Linked DNA regions of Sus scrofa. The protein of the gene in region 1 purifies or fractionates together with the protein of each later gene. This does not show direct contact. Links are inferred from orthologs where the notes say so. Each region holds a gene or a part of one and is shown in the gene's direction. Other genes may lie near its edges. The genes, in order: MAP4K4, STRN, STRN3 and RAP2C.

Evidence for each region.
Region 2: the proteins of MAP4K4 (region 1) and STRN purify together in Homo sapiens (affinity purification with mass spectrometry; 4 studies listed by BioGRID and IntAct, with this or other methods). This does not show direct contact. The link is inferred for Sus scrofa from reciprocal best matches to the Homo sapiens genes MAP4K4 and STRN.
Region 3: the proteins of MAP4K4 (region 1) and STRN3 purify together in Homo sapiens (affinity purification with mass spectrometry; 4 studies listed by BioGRID and IntAct, with this or other methods). This does not show direct contact. The link is inferred for Sus scrofa from reciprocal best matches to the Homo sapiens genes MAP4K4 and STRN3.
Region 4: the proteins of MAP4K4 (region 1) and RAP2C purify together in Homo sapiens (affinity purification with mass spectrometry; 3 studies listed by BioGRID and IntAct, counting the BioPlex papers as one, with this or other methods). This does not show direct contact. The link is inferred for Sus scrofa from reciprocal best matches to the Homo sapiens genes MAP4K4 and RAP2C.

Annotation. Positions count from the first base shown.
Region 1 is NC_010445.4:52,646,543-52,651,343, reverse strand, and holds the start of MAP4K4 (mitogen-activated protein kinase kinase kinase kinase 4), read left to right. Parts: upstream 1-1,863; 5' UTR 1,864-2,020; coding exon 2,021-2,077; intron 2,078-2,415; exon of another isoform or gene 2,416-2,436; coding exon 2,437-2,502; exon of another isoform or gene 2,503-2,699; intron 2,700-4,801.
Region 2 is NC_010445.4:103,248,188-103,253,083, forward strand, and holds the start of STRN (striatin), read left to right. Parts: upstream 1-1,638; 5' UTR 1,639-1,782; coding exon 1,783-2,016; intron 2,017-4,896. UniProt on the Homo sapiens protein: Calmodulin-binding scaffolding protein which is the center of the striatin-interacting phosphatase and kinase (STRIPAK) complexes.
Region 3 is NC_010449.5:68,560,950-68,565,115, forward strand, and holds part of STRN3 (striatin-3), read left to right. Parts: intron 1-2,250; coding exon 2,251-2,418; intron 2,419-4,166. UniProt on the Homo sapiens protein: Calmodulin-binding scaffolding protein which is the center of the striatin-interacting phosphatase and kinase (STRIPAK) complexes.
Region 4 is NC_010461.5:108,345,183-108,349,860, reverse strand, and holds the start of RAP2C (ras-related protein Rap-2c), read left to right. Parts: upstream 1-1,428; 5' UTR 1,429-1,542; intron 1,543-2,942; exon of another isoform or gene 2,943-3,031; intron 3,032-3,156; 5' UTR 3,157-3,704; coding exon 3,705-3,977; intron 3,978-4,678. UniProt on the Homo sapiens protein: Small GTP-binding protein which cycles between a GDP-bound inactive and a GTP-bound active form. May play a role in cytoskeletal rearrangements and regulate cell spreading through activation of the effector TNIK.

The DNA of each region.
Region 1 (4,801 bases):
AGGGATTGAATCTGAGCTGCAGCTCTGACCTAAGCTACAGCTGCGGCAATGCCGCTGGATCCTTTAACCCAGTGGAGCCAAGAATCCAACCTGCACCTCCACAGTGACCGGAGCTGCTGCAGCTGGATACTTAACCCACTGTGCCACAGTGGGAACTCCTAAAATCTTATTACTAGTACTATGGTCTGAAAGGTCATATGTGCACCAGTCCAACTCTGTGTAAATTATTTATACTCATAGATAATTCCATTGCTGTTGGTAGATTAAAAAACAACATAATTTAAAAGCACTACTAAATTCATAGGGAGACTTTGGCTACTACGATTTTCCTAACCAATGGATTCTAGGACTCCCTGAAGATATTTTAGCCTGTTGAGAAATTCTCAATAGTGGAAAATCTTGGAAACCAAACTGTTGGGAGGCAGGAGAGTGCTAAACATTCTGGGTAGAAGACTAATTTGGCTGAGTCAGAGATTTGGATTTTGGGGATAGGCTAGTGAGAATCCCCGTGCCACTTCCAGGCTTAAATGCCTTTAAGGAATTTAGAAAAATTCCTTCTCTTTCAGTACTTGAGTTTCCTCTTCTCTAAAATGAGGATAACATCATCCTAGGGCTAAAGGAGAGATTAAATTGATACTACATGTAAACCAAGAACTGGTAGATAATGATGGTCGTGTTTGTGAAGCCTTTCTGGAAGGGCCTTGGGTTTTCATCCAGTGCGGCTCCAGTTCTCAAAGTGTGATCCGTTGCAGACTCCGGAGGTGGGGTCGGCGGTCAGTGTTTTTCCAAAGGTGCGCTCACGTTTGAGAACTTGTATTCACAGTCTGGCAGGTAATAGGAAGCCACGGAAAGTTTTTGTCAGTGGAGTGATGTGACACAAATGACCGTTGGGCAGACCATATATTCTTGTTTAATAGGATGAAACTGCCTAACTGCTGCCTGGCTGCCAAAGCTGCCGGAAGCAGCCAGCTTTGATGGATCCTCAGTGATCTCTAGGCACTAAACTTGGGTTAACACTTCTGGCTCCCAATACGGTGCTCACCTTTACTGAGCGAGGTACTCAACACAAGGCAATTAGAGGAGCTGTTTGAGATTCAGTTTCCAGCGAAAGTCTCCGGACCGGGCAGCCAAAACAAATGATGCTCCGTGAATCCCGAACCTAACCAGGTCCTCGGTGTAGCCTGGAAAAGGAGAGAAAGGACAAGGAAACCAGGTAGGGAAACCGGAAATGAGGGTCTTAAGCGACTAGAACCCGGGGGTGGGGGAGGGGATGGGAAGAGCGGGGGCGAGGGCGCCTGGAGGACCCTCCTCCGCGGGGATCGCGGCGGAGCCGGGCGCGGCGGGGCGGGGCTCCGGGAGGGAGGAGTCGGCCGGCCCTGCGCCCGGGGGTCCGGGTCGCTTTGCCTTTGTCGCGGGTGCTGGAAGGGCGTGCTCCCCCTCCCCCGCGCCGCCCCGAGACCCCGGCTCCCGCGCGGCCTTTGTCCGGGCCCCACCCCTGTTGAATATTCACGCCGCGCCGCGGACCCCCCCCCCCGGCCCGGCTCCAGGCGCGAGCGCGCTTCCGCCCGCTTTTCCTGCCGGAGGAGGAAAGGGGGAGCTGTTGGCTCTCCTCAGAATCTCTTTTCGGTGTCCCGTTTCTCCTCCTCCCCGCCGCCACCGCCCCCCGCCCCCCGCCTCGCGCCCGCCTCCGCCTCCGCCTCCTGGTCATCTTTGTCTGGCGGCCTCGCGCTCCGGGCTCCACTCTCGGCGGCGCCGCGGCCCCTGCTCCGGGCCGCTCGTGCAGGCGCGCGGCGGGGCGCGGGGCCGGGGCCTGAGGCGCGGGCGACGCCCGGGGGCCTGCCGGCCGCCCCGGCCATGGAGTGAGCGCCGCCGCCGCCCGCCGCCCGGCGCCCGAGCTTGCTCCCGCCTGCCGCCCCCGGCCGCGCCCGCGGGCCCGCGCCACCCGGCCGGGCCTGCGACTCCGAGAGACACACCAGAGACGAATTGATTGTGGTCGATTTGGGGGTGACGAGAAGGGAAAATGGCGAACGATTCCCCCGCGAAAAGTCTGGTGGACATAGACCTGTCCTCCCTTCGGGTGAGTGGCCGCCGCGGGGCCGGGGGACCGGGAGCGGGGCGCTGGGAGCCGGGAGCGGGGCCGCGCCCTGGCCGGCCGGGCGCTCGGGCGCCGCCGTGGGCAGATCCGCGGGCGCGGCGGCCCCTTTGTCTGCCCGAGTCGGCGTGTGCGGGGTCCGGGGCGTGACCCTCCGCCTGCGCCGCCGCCCGGACCCCGACCCCGCGCGCCCCGGGCCCCTATCGCGGCCCCCAGTTGCCGGCCACCTCGCGCCGGGCGAAGCCCACCTCCTCGGTCACCGCCCTTTCTCTCCCGCTGCCCCGCTTCTTTTATTCATTGTTGTGCTGCTTTCCAACGCTCACCCATCCTCCTCTCTTCCTTAGGATCCGGCTGGGATTTTCGAGCTGGTGGAAGTGGTGGGAAATGGCACCTATGGACAAGTCTATAAGGTCGGTGCAGGCGCCTCCTTTGTTTCCCGGGGACGGGTTGAAACTTCTGATCCGGGGACGACGGGGAGGGTGATTGGACACGCCGCCGCCCGGAGGCTCAGCCGAAGTTGGAAGAGGGGTCCGGCCTCGCCGTCCCGCTGTTTTCAGCAGAGTTTATATTCAGACTGGCCTTAAAAGACCTCATTTCTTGGCTCTCAGATAAGGAAATAAGCTCCACTCTTAGGCATGCACCTTTTTTTTTTTTTCTTTTTCTTTTTTTTTTTTCAAGGAAATGGGAAAGCATTTTTGCATCAATCTACATTTTTTTTTCCCCCCTGTCTCTCCCAAATCTGGCCTTCTGAGTTTGTGTGTTAATTAAAATTCTGGATAGGCAGGCCTCGCCTGTGATTATCCTAAACCACTGCTTTGGCCTCCTTGAGAATCGTCTTCGTGTTTCCTCGTTTGAATCCTGGCCAGGCGCTCAATGAGGAGCAGAGTTTGGTGGTGTTACCTGGGAGTACTCCATAACTACCATACATTCTACTGACGGGTACATGTTTTGGGGAGTCAGGAGGGATGTGTGTTTGGGCAATAGGAGCAGGAAGAATTACAGTGTGAGGATTATGCACTCTAAATTCCAGGAATAACCTGTTTGACAGGTGTGTAATTGAAACAGAAAAGAGGCAGAGCCTCTGAGCAAAGAGGATGCCCAGATTTCACACCCACCCCAGGTCTTTCTCTAACAGCACCCCCTCCCCCCACTTGCCCCCAACAGTAAATGAAACTAACAAATCTGAAGACTTCCTGGACACCAGATATGACTAGCCCTGCTGTTCTGGAAATGAGGGTTAGCTGTAGGTAATTGAGGGGGAAGCCTTGAGAATTTGAAACAAATGTGAAATTCTCCCCAGTCCTGATTTGTTTCTTATTACTGAACAGCTTTCTCAAAGTTATCTGCACTGGGGGTGTTTTGTAGCCTGTTAGAGTGTTGTAGCTGGGTACAAGATTGGGACAGAAAAAAAATATCTTATGAAGCAGGGCTTTGTGGTTGGCTGTGAAGAATTGTCATTGTCTCATTAAAAATGGACAGGGGGGGGAGGGAGTGTGTGTGGGGGGGTTGGAAGCTGACTGTAGACCGTTTTCTTAGGCCAAATTAAGTGTGGATCCTATTGTCTCTTTTCTGCTTTGTGAATAGGGCTTATCTGCTTCTCCAAGGCCTCTCCCCAGCCCTAGCTTCCCCTGGCCTGGGCTGTGTACTGGCCTGGGTTGTGTACTGGCCTGTGGCCTGAACTTGAGTCTGTATTCTTAGGTGATCTCTAGTGAATTAGCATGTGTTTTGTTGGTTAACAGTTGGGGCCTCAGCCAGATTTTTGAATTTGAAAGGGAGCCCTGTTAACGCAGCCCGCTGGGCTCAACTGAATTTGGAAGCCTTTGGAAAATTATGGAAAAGATTGTGTTGCAACTCCCCGAGTGGTCTGCTCACTGGCTTAAAAACATTTTCCGGAGCCCCAGTGTTTGTTTAAGCACCGGTAGTTTTTTTCTAACCCAGTTTTTCTGGCTTAATCTGAGTGTTGAGTGTTGTCTTCCAAGTGAGTTAGCCAGAACTTGTTTTGACCTGGTTACACAGTAGTTGGATTGTTTGTGTCTTCTCGGGTCAAGGTGGGTGTGAGTGCTGGTGAAGTAAATTAGAAGCTGACTGTCCTTTTTTTTTTTTTTTTTTTTTTTTTTTAATCGTTAGAATAAAGAATGAGACCTGAATGTGTCCTCATTGGTTTAAGAGTTAGGAATTCTTTTTTTTTTGGTCTTTTTGCCATTTCTTGGGCCACTCCTGCAGCATATGGAGGTTCCCAGGTTAGGGGTCAAATTGGAGCTGTAGCCACTGGCCTACGCCAGAGCCACAGCAACGCAGGATCCGAGCCGTGTCTGCAACCTACACCACAGCTCAGGGCAATGCTGGATCCTTAACCCACTGAGCAAGGGCAGGGATTGAACCCGCAACCTCGTGGTTCCTAGTCGGATTCGTTAACCACTGCGCCACGACGGGAACTCCCAAGAGTCAGGAATTCTTTATGGGGGCAGTTGGGGCAGGTTCATAGCCAAGGGCTTCCCCTCGTACTTCTCTCTTGTGGTTCCCCTTTTCCCCAAGCTTTTGAGGTACATTTGCTGAGCACGATCTTTGGGAGGTGTTGGGCATGGTGGCAGTGGCACAGTGTCACTACAGTCAGTGTAGCTAAGGAGAAACTCTCATATTATGCAAACCTGAGGAATTAAGAAATCTGTGCATCAGTGGCATGCAATCCGGAGCAAGAGTGCCTGAGGT
Region 2 (4,896 bases), about 51 Mb from region 1:
CTTTAGAATCCCAAACCGTAAAATGAGAGGACTGGGCAGTATCTCAAAGGATACTTACAGCCAAAATAATTTATGACACAGGGAGTTGGCCAGGCCTGGATCAAACTTTTATTACAATAAAGAATGAATTCATAAAGCAGAAACATTCAATAACTGGGAGAAGAGAGCTAGCCATCTTTATTTGCAACCAGAGCAGATACAATGTGTTTCCTGTCCTTTCCACAAGTAGCAGTGGGAAGAGGGGGAGGGGGAATACAGGGACAGGATGTCCTTCCCTGACATGTCACTCACTAGCCTATATTTTTATATTTTTTTCCATGGCCATTAGGTTTGATATCCCAGAAGCCCATCCCACAAAAGAACTACAAATAACTTTTTGTAGGGACAAAATAAGTGCTTAATTTCATTTTCACTTGTTAAATTTTTTCAGGTCCCTTCCTTTCATTATCATTGTAGTGTGAATTAATAAGTGACATAATTTCAAGAACTTGGGAGAAGGATAACATTTAGAGAGAAACACTTGAAAGGACTTTGATGGGCCTTTGGTAGATTAATACTATTGCCAGATTGCAAGTGAAACGTGGAAGAAACTGGGAACCGGACAAGTGAAAAAGGAGAGGTGCCCGGATACCTAAGATAGCTCTAGGGAGTAGAAAGGGATTTTGTTCTTTTAAATAGTGTAACTTTAGGGCATTGCGAGAATTGATTGTATAGTTGCCAGTCTGCCTTTGAAGACAGGAACTGTGTCATTTATCTTTATATCCCCAATGAGATAACTTACAGTCAAATATTTGTTGAAATGTGTACCGACTGCTCAGGGATAAGGAAAAATGAGTTCGAAATAAAAGAGCCTTGGATATTTGTAACGTTTACAGGATTTACTGCAAGCTATAAAGGAGGTGAAGCAGAGCCCTGTTTTAGATGTGGTGTCACCAAACCAAAAATTGCAAGAAACAGAAAGCTGCTGTGTTGCGTTCAGGACAGAGAGATGATTAGTTCCTTCTAAATGAAAAGTGATCAGGCAACAGGTTTGACTGAACCTCTAGCGAGAAAAAAGGCAGGAACGACCGCGATAAGGAGATGGACAGAAGTGGAGTGTCTTGGGTCAGAGAATCACTCTAGACAGAGCAGAAGGGAGAGGTCCGAGCGTGCTGGCTAGAGAATCCCGGGCCATGGGGTCGGACCGGCGAAGCTTGCTTTGAGCTTGTTTCTTAACAGAACTACCAGGAAGCCGTAGGAGATGTGCAGCTTAGGCTGGCATTTCGGCGCGGTAACTTCCGTGTGTGTGTGTGTGTGTGTGTGTGTGTCTGCAACAGTGAGCGCCTTGTGTGTGTGTGTGTATGCGCGCCACAGTGAGCGCCGCCCAAGAACTTCCGCGTGCTAGGGAGGCTGGAGGACCGCCAGCCAGCCCCTGCTTAACCAAGAGGAAACCCGCGCTCCCCGCCGGGGGCCGCCCCTTCTCCGCCATGGGCTGGGGCGGGCCCGGGGGCGGGGCCGCGGTGGAGCCGCAGCCGGTCGCAACCCCTCAGGCAGCCCGGGCGGTGCTCGCCGGCACCACGCCCCGCGACTACATTTCCCAGCAAGCCCCGCGCCGCCCGCGCACCGCAGTTGACCCATTTCCCGGCCCGTCCCGAGCTCGGCCGGCCCCCGCGCCCAGGCGGCTGCTCCCTGCTGACTGGGGTGTGGGCGGGGAGCGGCGGAGGGAGGAGGAGACGCTGCTGGCCGCCGCCGTTGCCTCAGCTGCTGGGCGCCTGGGCAGCTCCCCGGGTTCCTGCGGCCGCCATGGACGAGCAGGCGGGTCCCGGCGTCTTCTTCAGCAACAACCACCCGGGCGCCAGCGGTGCCAAGGGTCTCGGGCCTCTGGCGGAGGCTGCCGCGGCCGGCGACGGGGCGGCTGCGGCGGGGGCGGCGCGAGCCCAGTACAGCCTCCCGGGAATCCTGCACTTCCTTCAGCACGAGTGGGCCCGCTTCGAAGTGGAGAGAGCCCAGTGGGAAGTAGAGCGGGCGGAGCTGCAGGTAAAGACCCTCCCGGCCTGGCCGTCTTCATCCCGCCTCTCCGCTCTCTTCCGCCCCGCCCCGGACCCTTCCCCCTCCCCCGCTCCGCTCGCTCGTCCCCTCCCCCTTTGCTCCAGCCCATCCCACCCAGAACCTCATCCCCTTCCTCCCTTCACCTTTGCCTTTAGGTGACCCCACTTCCTCGACCCGGGTTCCCACTCCCAGCTCCCCCCCCCATGCGTTGTTTACCCTCCCCGCACCTTTTCGTCTGCTCCTTCCCACTCTTAACTCTCAGGCTTGTTTGAACTCTCTCGCCATTCCACATTTTAGGTCTTCCCTTTCAGTTTACTAATTGGGCTGACAGTAGTTTTGAGAGATGAGCAAATCATCCCCTATCCTAGTGAGTGGCCCTCCTAGGTCTAGAGAAGATGCCTGGAAAAGGTATTGACAGTTGGCGCCTCTCTGTGAGGAAGGCGATCAGAGAAGACAACAGAAGTTGTATCCGTGAGGCCTTGACTTTAAGGCAAGAAGCTGCCGTTGGGTCAAAGTGTTACTAGGAATATCTGCTCCCTTTTTATATATGTAAATGTTTCTTCTTTTACTTCTTCCTCATCCCATCCCGCGTTTCTTTTAGATATTTCAGACTCGTGGATTTTGAATGAAGAATCTAGATAGATAATCACAGTCAGATAATGGTTCAGAGATGGTTTCTTGTTCTCAGAATCTAAAACTTCCCAAGGGTTAATTTTATGTTCAGGGTTTTGTGAGACTGACTTGTACTTTAAAAGGAACTAAAAGGAGCTTCAAAGTTGGTTACATTTCCTTGCATAATCTACAAGATAAAGTATATCCAGGGAGGAGCTATTGTGGGATCTTGGAAGAATGAAAGTGAGGCTGATACTTTGCAGGCCATTCTGAACTGGTAAGTAGGTTTCAGTGGCTGTTTTTAAAACTTCCAAGGCATACACTAATTTCACAAGGAATTTAAAGAACTACGAGTGGCTCTGCCTTTCTGTCTTTCTGGCTAATCCTGTATGCTTGTGAAATCTGAGTATAGTTTTGGTTGGTGAAACACTTGAAGTTAAAGTGCTACCCACTGTGTCACTTTTTTTGGTACCATGTATTTTCTTTGGCACTTAAGAGGAAAGAAGAAACAATCATGTTAAATAGAATCATGTGCTGTAACAGGCTGCTTTGGTGTAGTGCAAGTGGTTGTGGAAAGAGCAAGCAGAAGGGGTTACAGTATAAGCTGTGCTTGCTGCCTGCTCTTTGACCTTGAGGAAATCCTTTAACTTTTCTGAACTTCAGTTTCATCATTTATTTATTCAGCGTATTTATTGAATGCGTATTTATTGAGTAACTGTAGTTACTCCTCAGTTTTGCCCTCTCTACCTTACCCCCTCCCTGCCCCAATATATACACACACACTACTTACTGGGTTATTTATGGCAAATGTTAAACTTCAAGTAGGTTTCCCATTGGTGCTTATACTAAGGGCACTACATTTTTACAGTATCTTGGTTTGTGCTCCAGTTCAATTAAGCATCCATGGAGAAACTTAGAAAATGTGCCATAGTTTTTTGTTTTTTGGTTTTTTTTTTTTGGTCTTTTGTCTTTTGAGGGCCACACCTGCGGCATATGGAGGTTCCCAGGCTAGGGGTCTAATTAGAGCCGTAACTTTTGGCCCATGCCAGAGCCACAGCCACACCAGATCCAAGCCATGTCTATGACCTATACCACAGGTCATGGCAACACCGGATCCTTAACCCACTGAGCGAGGCCAGGGATCGAACTCACAACCTCGTGGTTCCTAGTCGGATTCGTTCCGATGCGCCATGACAGGAATTCCTGCATAGTTTTTAAACAGAGCAAATAGGCATTTTGGGAGGAGGGAGTTTCCAGGAATCTGTGGTTTTTGACCTCCTTATTAGTATAATTGAATATATATTTTAAAAATAATTTCTTTATATCAACATCATTAAATTCGACCATATCCCTTCTTTTTTCCATCAGAATCTTTCTAGTAGGAAATAAGAATTGAATGAATGGTAATGAAATTTGGAACAGTTGGTATCATCTTTTTAATTTTTAAATCTCTTCTTAAGTCAATACCAGAGTCAACAAAAATACTTTTAAGATTAGGTCTGATTTTTCTCTTCAGGAACCTGTCAGTCCTGCTCTTTCAAGTTGCCTGGGCAGAGTTGTGAAAGGCAACCCAAGCTCTCATCTCCCTGGCTTGCTTACACCATATCCTCCGTCCTTCAGATCTTGGGAGTAAGGAACTGGCCACATTATGCCAAAAACTTATTCGTCATTTCTTGCCCCCTTGTCCATCTTTGTTAACATAAAACTCTCTTTTTATTTTTGGCAATCTCTCTCCCACCTTCCCAGCACCATTCAAATGAGAGTAGGTAATTTATGGGAAAAAAATGGTCAAGATTATTCCTGAGCTTTATATTTGTGAAAGAAATTGAAGATAGAATATAAATCATAATATTTTAAAGATTTTTTAGTGTAGGAGACATTGTGCTAAATGCTCTCAAACATGCTGTCTAGTTGGAGTAATAGAACAAACAAATTGCATAGGAATCAATTTTTATCATTTTGGGGGCTTAAATTTTCTGTAAAGAGTGTAAGAAAGGAGAGCTAGTGGTGAATTGGGAGGGTAGAAGGGAAAAAGACCTTATGAAGCTGCAGTTCCCGTCGTGGCGCAGTGGTTATCGAATCCGACTAGGAACCATGAGATTGCGGGTTTGATCCTGGCCTTGCTCAGTGGGTTAAGATCCGGCGTTGCCGTGAGTTGTGTAGGTTGCAGACACGGCTCCGATCTGGTATTGTCAGATCTGGTATTGTTGTGGCTCTGGTGTAGGCCGGTGACTACAGCTCCGATTAGACCCCTAG
Region 3 (4,166 bases), on another chromosome or scaffold:
GTCCTATAAATGTAGAATTTAAAAAGATAACTCTTGCTGTTGCAAGGAAAATAGATTGGGGGTGGGAAGAGTGGAGAAAAAAATATCAATGTCATTTAATGTAAAGTTGTAACAGTGATTCCAGTAGATTAGGTGAGAGATAATGTTGTCAAGATTAGAGTGGTCGTAGAGCAGTGGTAGCAGAGCACTTGGAGAGAAATGGATTTAAGGCATGCTGGATTGAAATGTCCATGTACTAAGCCTCAAAACAACAATAAAATTCTCAATTATGAAAGAAAAAAAAAAAAGACATGCTGGAGAGGTGGGGGGAATAGACAGAATATATGATAAATTGGATTAAGTGGATGAAATGATGGATGAGTGACTTATTCTTTAACAGCTTTATTTAGGTACAATTCACATGATAAAATTCACACTTTTGAAGTATACATTTCAGTAGTTTTTACCATATTCACAGGGATGGGCAACCATTACCACTGTTTATTTCAGAACTTTCGTCACCACTCCTGCATTTTTGGCATGAGCAATTGAGTATATGATGGTAGCATATTGAAATGGGGACAGACAGGTGTGAGAAGATAAAGGATGGTGAGTTCAGTTTTTTGGCATGTTAAGAGATGGTAATCTTAAGTAAGTATATCAGTATCAAGATGTGAGAATGGATGGTATTATGTAGGGAGAATATGTCATGTAGAGTAGAAAGAGAAGACAAAATCCTGAGGAACTCTGACATTGGGGGCCAGGAGTAGTTAGAGCAAGAGAGGCAATGAAGAAAACTGAGAAGGAGTGGCCTGTGAGGTAGGAGGAAGTACAGGTAAGTGTGGAATCATGAAAGCATACCAGAAGAAGAAGCCATTTTGAAAAGAAGAAAGCAGTCTGCAGTAGTCATTTTCAATAAATAAGAAAAGTCTAATGTGATAGGTTCCTTTTTGTAAATAACAAATAGGTCACCCAGGCTTTGGCCAGACAATATAGATTGGGTTGGGGCTAAGGGGTGAAGGGACTTCTAAGTAACCTTTCAAGGCATACACTATGGATGAAAAGCAATGTGCTAGGAGGGAGGGAGGAAGGGAAGCAAGTTTTTATTAAATTTGATAGAATAGAGTTTATTGGTTATTTTAGCAAGGGTTGTTTTGCTGTGTGATGGTATCGGAGTGATTTCAAGAATAAATGGGAGGTTAGAAAGCATGTTTATTCAATATATTTTTCTACTATTTGGTGGGAGGTTGGTGTAATTGTTTGGAGCATATTTGCTTGCTGTGGTAATTATTCCAAGGAGGAAGAGAATCTGTATAGTAGAAAAACTGTAAACATGAAAGCAAGTTAGTGTTTTAAGGGGAATCCAGAATACCTGGTGGAATTAGCCTGTAATAGGAAGGAGGATAATTCCTTACTTGTATGAGGAAATGTACAGAAGATGGCTTTAGACACTAGTAGCTTTATAGGTTGGCTAGAGGAAGATAGAGGATGGGTTCCTATTTCAGTGCTGCGTTTTTCCAGTGACATTGAGAGAAAATTGTTCATGAGGGAGGGAGGGAGGTTGGGAAGTGGGAGTGTTGCAGAGATGAAGAGAAATATCTGTGGAAGCTGGGAATTTAGTAGAGAAACCACATTGTAAGACAAATGATGTTCAGGGTAATTAGCCACCATTGTCCATCAAATAATGATTGGATGAATAAAATGTAGTATATCCAGGTACTGGAATGCTATTTGGCAATAAGAAGCAATGAAGTACTGATACATGCTCCACGTTAGGCTAAGTGAAAGAAGCCAGTCACAAAAGGCCATTTGTATGAAATGTCCAGAATAGGCAAATGTATAGAAAAAAAATAGATTAGTTGTTGCCCAGGGCTACAGAAAGGCAGAGAGAAAGAATAGGGGAAATAGCTAAAAAGTAATGAAAGTGTGCTAAAATTGATGTGGTGATGATTGCACAACTAAAAACCATTGAATTGACACTTTAAATTGGTGAGTTTTATGGCATAGGAATTATATCTCAATAAAGCTGTTTTTTTTTTTTGTAAGTACATGTTCTTTATAGAAAATTGCAAAACTAAAAAAGTATTGGAAGGGGGGATAAAAATAACTCATAATTCCAGAACTTAGAGGTGGTTACTGTGTACACTTTGGTTTGTCTTATTATACCCATTATGTACATTCTTTATACATAATTATGTGGTAAGTTATCCTTATATACAAAAGCATTTATTTTAAACTTCTTGTAGCTCATTTTTATTTCTTTCTTTCCAGAGCCAAATGTTCTAGCTGGCACTTTAGTTGCTCATACAGATGCTGTCTGGGGTCTTGCTTATAGTGGCATAAAAAATCAATTACTATCTTGTTCAGCAGATGGCACTATTAGGTTATGGAATCCACAAGAAAAATTGCCATGTATTTGCACTTACAACGGAGACAAGGGTAAGGAAATTTTGCCTCTTTGAAAAAAACTAATTTCTTTTAAATTTGGAAGATAGGAGTTCCCGTTGTGGCTCAGTGGTTAACGAATCCAACTAGGAATCATGACGTTGTGGGTTCGATCCCTGGCCTTGCTCAGTGGGTTAAGAATCCACTGTTGCCATGAGCTGCGGTGTAGGTTGCAGATGCAGCTCAGATCCCGCGTTGCTATGGCTCTGGCATAGGCTGGTGGCTACAGCTCCAATTAGACCCCTAGCCTGGGAACTTCCATATGCTGCGGGAATGGCCCTAGAAGAGGCAAAAAGACATAAATAAATAAATAAATAAATAAATTTGGAAGATAGGACAAAGTCAATTTACTGTTTCTTGGCCGCTTGAAGAAATACTAAAAGAACTTTGTGAAGCTGTGATAATCTTTTTTACTCCTAGTCATCTTCAATAAACAAGAAAGGAGCTTTTGCAAGTATATCCTGTAGCTGGGTGCTTTTTTGACCTTTTTCAGGACAACAGAATAGAACTGTCTGTATGTAACAGTAGACAGATGAGACTGCTCAAAGGAACAATAGCTCTTCATCAGCTCTTGTGGCTGTGACTAAAGGGGTCACAGTCTCAAGCATACCTGTGTAAACCATGTGTGATGTGAGCTCACTGGTTGATATGTCTAGCACCCATAACTGGGAGGTGCAAACTGAGTTACACACACAATTTCAAATCTTTTCCTGTCAAAGAAGGCTTTAATTAACCTTGTTGTGACATTTATTTACATAACATGCTTATATTATTTCTTTGATCTTATTTTCCAAGCAGTTTTTTAAAAAATCATATCTTTTTTTTTCATGTCTTTTATTTTTATTTTTTCTTTTTAAAACATTTTTTATAACATTTATGCTTGATTTTCTTGGGTCTCTAGATAGTTTAGTGATTTACTAATTTTTCAGTTATCTAAGCTTTTGAGGTAAAAATTTGGTTAGATATTTGTTTCTTGGCTTCATTCACATAATTAATTCTTACTCAAGATTTCATGTAGTTGTGCATTGCATTTGGACAGTTGAATTTAGTATGTTAAAAGAGGGAAATTGCTGGAATTCCCATCGTAGTGCAGCAGAGGTGAATCCAACTAGGAACCATGAGGTTGCGGGCTCAATCCCTGGCCTTGCGCAGTGGGTTAAGGATCTGATATTGCTGTGAGCTGTGGTATAGGTCGCAGACGTGGCTCGGGTTTGGCGTTGCTGTGGCTGTGGTGCAGGCTGGCAGCTGTAGTTCCAATTCGACCCCTAGCCTGGGAACCTCTATATGCCTTGAGAACGACCCTAAAAAGCAAAAAATTAAAAATTAAAAAAATAAAAGAAATTGCTGCTTGGGTCACGTTAGTATAGTGTATTGCATGAATGGATTTAGAGTCCAAAGCTTCTTTTTCAGATCCAAAAGTTTGACTTTTATTAGCTGCTTGATAAAGCTTACAGGTCTCATTCACCAAACATAGTGATATGGTGAATGCTAATTTATCCTTTTACATTAAGAAATTTAATTGGCGGGTGGGCCCAAAGACTCAATTAGAATTTTTTTTCTCTCTTAGAAGAAGAAAATGCATAGGAGAACAGTAACTCTTATGCATATCTACTCTTACTTTGAGTCCTCTAGTTATATTTTTCTTATAATGTTAAGTAGAATATTATAAATATTTTTAATAATTGAGAGAAAGTTAACTATTATTATATCTCACCATTCCTAACACAATTGCTTTTTCATTA
Region 4 (4,678 bases), on another chromosome or scaffold:
GGTGAGGAGTTTGAGGTTCAGAGGAGTGAAATCACTTGCTCGAGGTCCCACAGCTAGGAGGTGGAGGAGTTGCCCTTGAAAGGCCTGTCTGCCTTGCTTCGGGGCCCATGGCTCTCAACTGCTGGGCTGTCCTCTTCTAATTGGTGTTTATACTCTCATTGCCTAATAAAAGTAAACGGGTGAACAACTGGAGTCTAATGAGATAATGTATGTGAAAATACTTTTCTAAGTATAGAGATGTTTGGGAGGACAGGATGGGCAGGAGGAGGGAGTTTAAATTGGGCAGACCTGCCCACTGACCCCAGACAGTCAGGATATTGGGGGGGGGTGGAGGAAACGATGAGCAACATTTTATATTTCTTCTCTAAAAATATTATAAAATTATATTTATTCCTCTTTTCCCCAGTAATACCTGATCATGGCTTAGAAATTAAAATGATATGGAGAAATCAAAGTCCTTTCAGAATACCCCTCACCAATAATTAATGCCTTTGTTTCAGATTTTAATGGCTATGTAATTACATATTGCACACACTCACATATTTTACATAAATGGGAGCAACTATCTCTTTGCTCAGCATCTAACTTTTTTCATCCTCACAATATACCTTGACCGTCTTTTCATAACAGCACTTACAAATCTACTTTTTCTCTTTTAAATAGCTGCATGGTCTCCTATTTTGTGAGTGTGTGTGTGTGCGCGTGCATGATTTTTTAAATCATCTAGTGAAGGATGTTTAGGTGACTTTCGAGTGTTTCCAAGTGTGTGTGTGTACATTATTTTTTACATCGTCTATCAAAGGACATTTAGGTTACTTGCAAGTGTTTCCGTGTGTGTGTGTACACACATTACTTTTTTAAATCATCTGTTGAAGGAGACTTAAGTTACTTCCAAGTGTGTGCTTTCCTAAAATGCTGCTGTAATGAATACACTTTCTAAGAAAGTTTAGAAGGGTCATCAGAATGAGTGTGACATTTGCCAATTCTGTAGCCAATAAGAGTGTCCCAGTAGGACTCTGTACTTCGGTAAGGAGTATGTTTCACTGTGTGGAGAAACAAAGAATTCTCTCCAAAATAGTTTGGCCAACACATTCAGAGATATTAGAGTTGCCAACAAGTGGGACCACCTCAAAAAGAAGAGCAGCCTGTTTTGACAGTTTAGTGACAGAGCACAGACTTGCCACAATTGCCCAACACTAATTGCTGGATCAGAGGAGGAATTTCCAGACTCAGTTCCAAGCAGGGCTGGTACAGGGCTATGGATTTCCCCCCCCCCATCCCCCCCCCCCCCAGACAGTCTGGAGACAGCTAGACAGGGAGATGGGCAGCAGAGCTCCAAATCCGGCAACAGCACGTGTGGAAGGAGCAGTGACCTATGGGGAAGACTCATAATTCATAGACCAAACCTCTTCCAGCAGAGGGCAGTGCCTCAGATATCAGGCGGGACGCGGGCCAGCTGGAGCCAGAGCTGGGAACTTCGCTGGACAGATTGCACCAGCCCTAGGCTGAGGAGAAAGTGAACGTAACTGTCCCTTGGATACTGTAAGTGACATTGGGGAGCACCCAGGGAGAGACAGTGGGATTTCACACGACTGTAATTTGCCTGTTTTCTAATGTTACACAATTTGGGTTTGGTAACAAATCCCTTTTGATACAGTCAGGCCATTAAGGCTTCCACGTAAGGGATTTGGGGTCGCTTTAACTCGACTGGTCACTGACTTTCAGGCGTCGGGGTGCATGCTAGAATCAGAAAAGGAGTGACATTCCTAAAATATAACCTAGGCTTCTGACCCTGGGGCTCTGTGGATCGGACACAAAGTTTACAAATAGAAAGTTAGCAGAGGGTAAGATATGTAAAAAGTAACAATTTTATCTAAAAATAGAAACTTAGTGGTTAGCACTAAGTCCTCTGCTTTTGAATTTCAAAGACTTAAAACAAACTTTAACTTGGAAGAGCCAGCCATGCAAATTGCTGTGCCTGCAGATAATGAAAAGATTCAAAGAAGTTAGCGTGCAGGCCTAAACAGTTTCCAATCAACTCTTCCCCGCTGCGAAGCCTGGGGACTCCAAAAGGGACAAAGCTGAGTTAGAGTCCCATAAAGGCTACTCCTAATCCCTTTGGTTTTCGAGCCTGGCGATAAGAAAGAAAGGAGTGGCTTCGGCATTTGCTGGTGGAGTCAAGGCAGATTTACCGGATGATAAAAGTACCGAGTGTGTGTGCGTTAACTGTCAGGCACAGCTAAATAAAACACACCACATATGAAATCCGAGCTATTCGTGAAGTCGAAGGCTAATGTGCACGCGTTTCTTAGAAAAATAGCAAGTGCATGAAAATACCAGCAAAGAGCATCAACTTTCTCGGCCGTTTTATTTTCCCTGCGACTTCTGGTCCAGGGATGATAGGCGTTGTGCGGATCTTTAGCTCCGCCAACCAGCGGATCAAGTCCTCAGGCCGGGCCGGGGGCTGCTGAGACTCCTAGGGGCTTCCGCGGGCTCGGGGGTGGGACTGTCCGCAGCAGCAGCGGCAGCAGCAGCAGCAGCAGCAGCAGCAGGAACAGCAGTTGCGGGCAGGCAGAGAAAGGAAGGGCGCCGGAGGTTCTCGGACAGGCCCTTTGCCAAGGCCGTAGCCCCGACCCGAAACCGTCCTGGGCCGACTCGCTCAGCAGGGCGCGGCCCCAGCGCCACCCGGCTCGCCCCGGGAGAGGTGGGACTTTCCCCACCGGAAGTGATCCCGTCCCGTCTCAGGGAACTGGGGCACCTCCACCAGTGTGTCAGGGAAACCCTTCCGGGTGTGTGCTGGGGGTGGGGGGGTGGGGGGAGGGTGAGAAAAAAAAAAAAAAAAAAAAGAGGTGGGTTCGCCTGGAGTCCCAGCGGCCGCCGCCGCTGCCGCCGCCGCCGCCGGACGGCCCCCGCCCCTTTCCCCTCCGCGAGCCGCAGCGCAGGGGCGGCGGTGAGACCGAGGAGCCGGCCAGTGGCCATGGCCTTGGCGTGACACAGCCTCCCGGGCGGCCGGGCGGGTGCGGACGGCAGGGTAAGCGGGGGCGGCCGGGCCCGGGTGGGAGCCGGGGGAGGCGGCCGCCCGGGCTGCCCGACGGGGGCGGGCGGGGGTCCGGCGGGTAACGCGCGCCCTCTCCGCCCCCCACCCCCCCATCACAGGCCGGACGACGCCCGCGGGAGCCGCGGCCCAGAGACCCGCCCGGGCGGCAGCGACTGGAGCGGAGCCCACAGGCCTGGGCTGGCTCGGCGGCGCGAGCAGGAAGCGGGGTCCCTGGGCCCCTTTGTGTGAAGGGCGGGGGAGGGGCGCGGGGCAGCCCCGGGCCGCGGGCTCCTCGGACGCCCGCCTTCCGCGGGGGGCCCCCCGTCTGTCCTGCGGCGCCCACCCCTTCCCTCCCGGGGCGGGGGGCGCGTGTCGCCTCCCCAGCCTCCCAGCTTTTCGGGGCTCGCCTTCTCCCCACGCCCCCTGCCTGGGCTCCGGTTCCTATAGGAAGGGCATTACCATCCCATCCCCACCCACCCCGACACTTCGCTCTTTCCCCTCCCCCTCCTTTAACTTCCTCTTCTTCCCCCGTCGGGCCCTCGGCTGCTCTGCGCTCTCCTCCCGGGTTCGCAGATTTCCGCCCACCTTCCGCCTCCCCGAGCCGCGCCGCCGCGAGCGGGGTGTTATTTTTCCCTCCCTCTGGTAGGAGTTGGTGAAGGAGAGACTCATGCGGGAGTACAAGGTAGTGGTGTTAGGGAGCGGAGGGGTTGGCAAATCTGCCCTTACTGTGCAGTTTGTCACCGGGACTTTCATTGAGAAATATGACCCCACCATTGAAGATTTCTACCGCAAAGAGATCGAAGTGGACTCTTCCCCCTCCGTGCTGGAAATTCTGGACACCGCAGGAACTGAGCAGTTTGCCTCCATGAGAGATCTCTACATCAAAAACGGCCAAGGTTTCATCCTGGTTTATAGTCTGGTTAATCAACAGTCTTTTCAGGTAACCAAGTCTTGTAATTTGTTAGAAGGGGGTGTGGTAAACTACATTTACTTCTGGTTTGCTTGCGTAAATGACTGTGTTTTGCTTTTGAAAGTTAGACATGGCGCATTTTTGAGGTTTCTCCTGGCACGGAAAAGCATCGAGTTGTTTCTATAGCGAGGACTAAAGGCACTACCGTTCACAAATATTTTAAAGTTATTTTCGAGTGAAAGAGAAGTGAAAAAGACATGTCAGCCAGTGTATATTTAGCCTGGCATATAACCATCTGAAGTTGCTCGTTCACCTCACCAGGTCTTGGTTAATGTACTCAGCAGAACAACGTTTCAAAGATAATCTCGGGCAGATAGAGCACTTTGGAAAGAAAATTATTTGGAGCCGATTATCTGTTGCACAGATAACTCCTCTGCGTCTACGTCCCTTCCTCCCCTCTGTTCTCACCTAAGTCTCTCAACCAGATTTCTCTATCTTAGTGCTGCAAGATGAAGAACTCAAGACCTGCCTTCTAGGCATTTTACTTACTTGGGGCATGTGAAGGGAAGTTACTCATTGAAAAGACTGGTACCTAGAATTAATAACAAACACAAATCTAGAACAGCTCTCCTTTTTTGCAGTTCTTCCAAACTGTTTCTGATAACATTGACTCTATTTGTAGAGAATATGTGGATCTGGGGACACTGAGCAAGGGCAGATTTCTAACCCCT